Danio rerio: one gene and its partner. The protein of the gene in region 2 binds, or shares a complex with, the protein of the main gene of each other region. Links are inferred from orthologs where the notes say so. Each region holds a gene or a part of one and is shown on either strand. Other genes may lie near its edges.

Region 1 (4,126 bases), on a different chromosome or scaffold from region 2:
CACTCTCGCGTTTGTCAGCTTCTCACAGGATCGGGTTTCCAAAGCTTGTCAATAATCAAGCGCATGTTATTATTATCAGCTAAAGAAGTTAGTTATTTCAGATAACGCGCGTCGAGCGCAAGGAAAAAAAGTGAAACCACTCAGGCTTCAGACTGGCTCGTAAAAAAACTACGCGGCACAGGGTAAATCTGCTCTTCTCCATGGCTTTGTGGCTGTTTAACAAGACGGCGACAGGGTTTGTTTGAGCCCGGATCGACTATGGCTGCATATGTAGATATAATTTTGTGTAATCTCTCGCTGTGTATTTTAAACATGGCAGGTCCTTTGTTTACATTCTGGCTTGTTGAGTCTACAAATGACGTATCTCTATTAACCAATAGCATTCAGCTGCGCATGTAGCTCCACCTTTTGGGACCCTTTCTGCAGTTTGTGACCCTTTCGAAAGGGTGCCGAAAAAGTGGTACGGTACGGTTTGGTTCGGTATGCCTTTTGACAGTGGAAATGGCCATAAAAGCGTACCAAAACGAACCGTACCGTACCACTCAGTGGAAACGGGCCATAACAGTGCCTGGGGTTTAAATGGTCTTTCGCCTGTTTTTACGCTTTTATAAAAATAAGTTTTAAAAAAATGTAAATTTGTGTAGACTTGGTGTTTTAGACATGAATAGACTTGAACTTGTTTCGGTTTGCCATTGCACAGGGCTAAAGCGACACCAAAATACTTTTTTGTTCAAACCTTAATATTGTTCATGTTTATAAGTGTGTTCTCCAGAAGTACATAATAAGCTTAGAAATTTGAGATGTGTGTAATTTATTTGATTTAACTCAACTATTAGATTTAGTTAAATAAATCTACAGTAGAATATAGATACTACTAGTAATATGACTAGTAATACTAAATTTGATTTTAATCAAAAGACTAGGAATAAAAATGTAATCAAAATATGCTGTTAAAGTGAACAATGTGAAGAAAACAACAAAATGAAAAGAATGGATCTAGATAAGTCTGAACACATTATAACCTAAGATAATACCAGGTGAAAATGACCTTCTGCTGACCACTTGTGATCAGATCATTGAAAAGAAGTTAATATTGCTATGCTGCTGTGAATACACTTACCTTTACTTCTGTTCTCTTAAAGGCCTGGAATGAACCTGTCGTTTCAGGTTTTGGCTTTAGTTCAGCTTTCTTGACTAGCGGATCTTTCAACAAAGGTACTGTTGTTGCCAAAGCAGGAGCTGGCTTTTGTGGTGGTTTCTGAGTCTTTTGGGCCTGAGATATTAAAAACACATAACAGTTAATATTTCATTATTATTTCAGTGATACGCATAAAATTCATTGTCATACACTTCCCACCATTCGTTTCATTTGCCTGGTGCACCGAGCACAGTACCACACCAGTCGCGGGTCATTCACATCCTTGTCAGTAACCTGAGGTTTGTGACACTCTTGATGATAAAGATTATGACATTCTTGACACTCCACAAGCTGATTCCCAGAAGTGACGGTCATTTGTCTGAGAGAGGAGAAATATAGATACATTTCGAATTAAAATGGCCGAAAATAAATTAAAGATTCAGAGAACATCAACGACATCAGTGTAATGACACAAAAAAAAAAATCCAAAAAAGTTTATCTAACACTCACAAATAACATCAAAAAATAAATTATCATTTACTCATGCTTTACTTGCTCTAAACCTTTAGTTGAAGTATCTTTCTTCTGATAAACATAAAGAAAGATACTGATGAATATTGAACAAACAAATGAATACAGATTTTTATGAGTAAATTAATGCCTGTTAGTAAACAACAATAGTTGTGTGTTTTTGTAACTTTTAACACACTCACATTCCCACTACATATAGCTACTTATTCGAAGAAAACTCCATCAGAAGTGGCATCACTCACCGACAAACCACACAAGCAAGACCCATTTCCATGGCAAAGTCATCAGCGTTGGTTTCATCAATATCTGTGAAATCTGGAATGGGAATGTCCTTGGTTTGAAAAGCAATCGGAGAGGAATGACTGTCCTGCTTCTCTAAACGAGGTTTCTTAGGCGGCTCCACTCCTTCTCCAGGATCAACCCTAATCTTTAAATCATACAAATATTCAAAAGTGAATTATGCTGAGAATTTCCAGTCATGTCACATTTACAATCATAAATGAATATTAGTGCAAACTGACTTTTTCCAAAGTTCTTTTCTCGCTCTCTTTCTTGGACTTCTCTGAGGTGCTTGATTTACTGCTGCTGGTGGTGGTGATGGATGATGACGCTGAGGAACTTGAGGAGGATTTGGAGTCTTGTTTTGTCATTTTTGGCAATGACACTTTGCTCACTTCAGCTTCCTATTCAATGGATAACGAGTTAAATATTTTTTTTAAAATCTACTAATAAAAAACAAAAAAATAATACCTTCTTGATTTGATCACCTTAATTGAATTCCTATAGATGGAGTCACTGCCTCTGGCTAAAGACTCATCTAGCAGGGCCTTGAGTTTCTCTGCCGAGTCTTTGCTCTTGGAGTGAAGATACCCCAGTCCCTTCAGAAAGATAGGGTCTAACTCTAGACTTACTGTCCCAGCCATTGTTTAGCGATTATTATCTAATTTAACATAAGAAAATGACCCGGCCCTCTACTTATGGAGTTTACGATGTTATATTCTCGGATAACACTAGAAAAGCTTCATTTCAGACTCTACAATATCTAGTCTTTCTGAGCTAACAAAAGCAACATGAACTTACTGACACCGGATTGTGCTCAAGCTTTTGTTTAAGGAACGTTTTTATAAACCGTAAAAAAAAAACAAGATATTATCCTTAGCAGAAATTAACTAACTTAGCAATGCTTGAAATGATCCGACTATAGTATCGAATTAAAATAGAGCAAGTAGAAAGAAAGCGCTTGAAAAGTATGGGGACCTCAATAGGGCGTGGCTTAGTGGCCATGAGGTTGTCTCTAATTGGTCGGATGAATCTGTTTTCTGTTTTTGTGCTAATTTACATTTTAATTTATCTCTCTTTGGCATGTTTTAAAAATTGTTTGTAAAAACAATATTTATTTTAAAAAGTGTCCTATTTAAACTATTGCTCACATAAAAGATGAAGCAACACGCCAACGGTTTTGTCACGTGATAGTTGTTGTTTTTCTTACTGCTTGTCAGTTCTTATTGTTAGATTAAAAATAACCTGTTGGTGAGAATTATGTACCAAATTATTAGAAATTAATGGACTTGCCTTAGACACATGTTTTCTATTTACTAACATTTGTAAATTTCTTAAATTTCTCTGCAGGATTTTGATGGCTTGATAGCGCTTTGCATTCTGAGCCACCAAGTGCCCCCTACTGGATAACTGGTGATCATAATGATGTTTGCCGACTGTTCTTTTATTTCTTTCTAATGACGCTTTTGTGTTTCTACTAAATCATACCGACATAAGCGCTTCGTTTCCGCCGTCATTTTCACCAACAGCACCTCGACATGAAATTTCAGCCTGCAAATTATTTTAAAAATATCACTATGTATTAATATATTAAAATCATCAGGAATGCGAGCTTATCAACCAGCTTAAAAATCATATCAGCCGGACACTAATAAATGTAACACAAGGAAATGCTACGTAGTGCGTAAAATTGAAATATCCTTGACCAAATAGGTAAATAACGTCTCGTAACAAACTCTCAAAACCTTATTGTTCTATAACCATCCAAGACCATTTATTGTGCGAATTTAACGGCATATCTTGCCCGTTATGGCGTTGTTGACAGGGGTCAAAAGAATGCGTTGTAGGAGCGTCATAATTGTGTTGTCGAGTGTAAGAAGCTGATTGGCTGTTCTGGTGTGACGGGGGTTCTTGTCCCAGATCGCAGGGGTTAGACAATAAGAATCCAAACAGCAGCATTTACAATAATAACACCGCATAGATGCTATTTCTATCTCTCTGTGGTTTCAAGTAGCTGGCGCTGTCACTAAAACAGCTGTTCTAAATATATCAGACGAATCGAATAATTTTTCAGAATTATTCAGTCACTTAGACCAATCAAATACATCCCAGAAAAAAGGTAAGTGCCACACATCTATAGGTCTTCTAAGCATTTTGTTGATTTCGACATGCTTCACT
Region 2 (3,655 bases):
GTAATGTCTCAAAAAGTGCACATTTTAAAGACAACATCCGGTTCAGTTTCCAGGAGTTTGGCACTCATGGATCAATTCTGGCAGAGAGCGAGTATGAGCTGAGAATGATGGCTGTGTTCAATCATGTCCTGGAGGAAGTGGAAAATCTAAGCAGGAAACACCCTCCTGTTTCTTACCTGGTACTGCGTTTCTAAGAGTATCCATCAGCCAACTTATACTGACTGCAATATGTCTGGAGTCACTTTTCATGGATTTAATTACATAGTAATTTTCTAAATTTGTCATTTCGGTCTGTTTTAAGCACACCGGCTGTCTGTGTGATACTGTCATAGCCATCCTGAAAATACCACTGTCGTTCCAGAGATATTTCTTTCAGAAGCTTCAGTCCACCAGCATTAAAGTGAGTGACCTGTACAATGTTGTTTAAAAAAAAAAAAAGAATATTAATAATGTTTACACTCTAGTTTCAATTTTATTTAGTCTCAACCTTAACTTTAGTCTTTACTCTTTTTTTTACGCAATATACTTATATAGAATGCAGTTATAAATATATACATACACATACAAATATATAAAACATACAAATTTTTTCTTTTTATATTAAAAAATTGATTTTTTTTTTTAATAAGGTTAAAATAATAATGTATTTGTTACATAAACATTACATTTATTACTGTATTCATCTATTTTACTTTAGTTATAAATTCATTTGTTTATTTGTTAGTTCTTCTTAACTAACTCACGTTGTTGGGCCTCATGGTGGTGCAGTGAGTAGCACTATCACCTCACAGCAAGAAGGTGGCTGGTTTGAACCCCGGCTGGGTCAGTTGGCATTTGTGTGTGGAATTTGCATGTTCTTCCCGTGTTTTGCATGGGTGTCCTCTGGGTGCTCCGGTTTCCCCCACAAGTCCAAAGACGTGCTTACTGCTTATAGGTGAATTGGATAAGCTAAAAATTGTCTGTGGTGTATGTAAGTGAGTGTGTATGAATGTTTCCCAGTGATGTGTTGCAGCTGGAAGGGCATCCGCTGCGTAAAACATATGCTGGATAAGTTGGTGGTTCATTCCGCTGTGGTCCCCCCAGATTAATAAAGGGACTAAGCCTAAAAGTAAATGAATAAATTATATGTATGTGGAGTCTAAATTGTTCATTAACTAGCAGTTATTGTAAATTAATTCCAAATATCAAATATTCCAAGATATGCAATGTTGAGTCTGAATTATACTTGACCCGGGGCTACAGAACACATGATTTGAAGTTTAACTATAATATAGTGAAGGTTTATCATTTGCATGTGTTTTTAAGGCCTGTGAGTAAGTATTTCAGAAGAGTTGGACAGAACATTTGGACAGAAAAAATTAAGACTTTTGGAGGTGCATTTAATTATGAATACAGAATTTACACGATTTAAGCAAAAAAAATTTAAAATCTTATATTATTGTTGTCCTGTTTCCAGTCCAAATATGTACATTGCAAAGCAACATTAGCAAGATTAATTTACTTACCCCTTTGGCAGATCATTTTGCTTGTTTTAAGGAAAAAAAAATTATTTTTGATTTATTTCGTCTGAAGTCGAAAACAAAACAATATTTTTTCTTGACCTAAGAACTTTTAGATATTTGGACTAAAAATGAGACAAAGCAACGTATAAGGATTATTTGCTTTGTGATTATTAAATTGTTGTACCTAAATAGTGTTAGACTTCAAGGAAACCATAAAATAGAGTTATTTAAACCATTTTGTGATACTGTATCCATATCGCAATATATTGTTGCAGAAAAATATAATATTGCAAGATCAGATTTTTCTAATATTGTGCAGCCCTAACCTTTTCCTCAATAAACTACTTATTTGCTGCTTATTATTAAAAGTATAGTAGTAATTGAGTTAAGAATTAGAGATTTAGATTAAGATCATATTTTAGAAGTACTAATTAAGCCAATATCTAATTAATATGCAGGTACTAAGCCAGTAGTTAATAGTGTGAATTGTTAGACAAACTAAAGTGTTACCTGTACATTAACTAGCCGAGCGTTATTGTAAATTGTTTCCAAATATCTAAAATAAGCATATTTATTTTAAAAAAAAGTAAATGTCAAAGTTTTAACACTGAGATAATAGTTATTAAAATTCTAGTAATAAAATAAAGTCAGTTGTTTATGTACTAAAGATTCGAACACTTGTATCTATTGTTATCATGGAAAGTCATGTAAAACATCTTTTGTGTCTAATTCTTAGCTTTAGTTTCAAGAGTTTCAAACTGTCTGAAAGAGGAGTTACGTTTATAAAAACTATACATGTTTTTTTTTCTTCTTCTAGCTTGCTCTCTCTCCATCTCCCCGCACACCCAATGAGCCGATCCCAGTGCAGAACAACCAGCAGCTGACCTTAAAAGTGGAGGGTGTTATTCAGCACGGCTCCAGTCCGGGACTCTTCCGGAAGATTCAGGCAGTCTGTCTTAAAGTCAGCTCGACGTTACAGACAAAACCAGGATCAGACTTCAAGGTGAGCTCAACACAGAGTACAATACTTACACTCATTTTATTTCTTATGTTTGTTCCTGATGGTCTATTTCAATCTCAATTACATTTTATTGCAAATAAAATCAAGCCAAATTAAAGAGAAGAAAAGATTTAGATGATTAAGAAAAAAAGAAATAGTTTGTCCTTCTAATCATTAATTGAAATCTGAAATGCACTTTCTGTTTGTTTTTTGTTATATTAAAAGTTTACGTGATTTTGAGGTAATGAGAGTGGCAACAAACAGAAATGGTGAGCAGGAGGTGTCTGTTAGAATGTAATAATTCTTCCCAAACTTTTTCCCCCATCTTCCTTAATGAAATGCCTACTTTACTACTCCCAATCAGCTCACAGTAGAAAAAAACAAGCCACACCCACTGTTTTCTCATTTAACATTCAATTTTTCAAGGAAATTCATCACAATCTGAAAAAAATAATGATAGCAGCTTCCGTTTTAAGAAGCATTTAATACTTTGTTTGGGGAGTTTAGAATAGAGTTCACTCCCGTAAACAAACACCTTATAAGGTCTGTTCACACCTACATTTACATTTAGCCCCGTTTACACTAGTGCGTTTTAGTTTTAAAACAACGTTTTAGAATAAAAACAATCCACAGTAGCGTTTCACCCAGCGTTTCTGAACAGCTCTTCGTCTACACCAAACCACTGAAAACGCACATCAGGTGACCACACACACACACACACACACACACACACATTGGCATGCGCTGCAGCATATCCACCCAGATGAGAGCTGTGCTCGTCAAACTGTTTATCAAGGATCTAGGCTACCGCTGGATCTAATCTCACTATATTTGCTAAACATGATATTTAATACACTTTATTTTCTCACTTTAACATCGAGACCAGCAGCCTGTAAGTACATTTAAGACTTGTTTCAGTTGTTGTGTATGGTTTGAGGACTTGTTTTCAGCTGTTTGTGTAAAGTTGTAGGACATTTAAACTTGCTTTCAGTTGTGTATAATACTACAAGTGTTTAGCCACTGTTTCCTTGGTTACTATAAGAGCTTGGGTAGCGAACGCGGTCGGTTTCGCGACGTCCGCCTCAGTTTCGGCCCTTGTTTTGACTCGGGAGGCGTGTCCAAACGCCAGGTAACCACTATATAGTGAGCACGC

What was found.
Region 1: ints7 (region 2) and ints12 share a complex: the UniProt entries of both Homo sapiens proteins name them as parts of the integrator complex. The link is inferred for Danio rerio from reciprocal best matches to the Homo sapiens genes INTS7 and INTS12.

The regions. Positions count from the first base shown.
Region 1 is NC_133176.1:28,088,479-28,092,604, forward strand, and holds the start of ints12 (integrator complex subunit 12), read right to left. Parts: upstream 2,897-4,126; 5' UTR 2,593-2,896; coding exon 2,437-2,592; intron 2,353-2,436; coding exon 2,191-2,352; intron 2,097-2,190; coding exon 1,912-2,096; intron 1,518-1,911; coding exon 1,358-1,517; intron 1,274-1,357; coding exon 1,121-1,273; intron 1-1,120. UniProt on the Homo sapiens protein: Component of the integrator complex, a multiprotein complex that terminates RNA polymerase II (Pol II) transcription in the promoter-proximal region of genes.
Region 2 is NC_133195.1:14,299,973-14,303,627, reverse strand, and holds part of ints7 (integrator complex subunit 7), read left to right. Parts: intron 1-46; coding exon 47-179; intron 180-301; coding exon 302-400; intron 401-2,319; coding exon 2,320-2,505; intron 2,506-3,655. UniProt on the Homo sapiens protein: Component of the integrator complex, a multiprotein complex that terminates RNA polymerase II (Pol II) transcription in the promoter-proximal region of genes.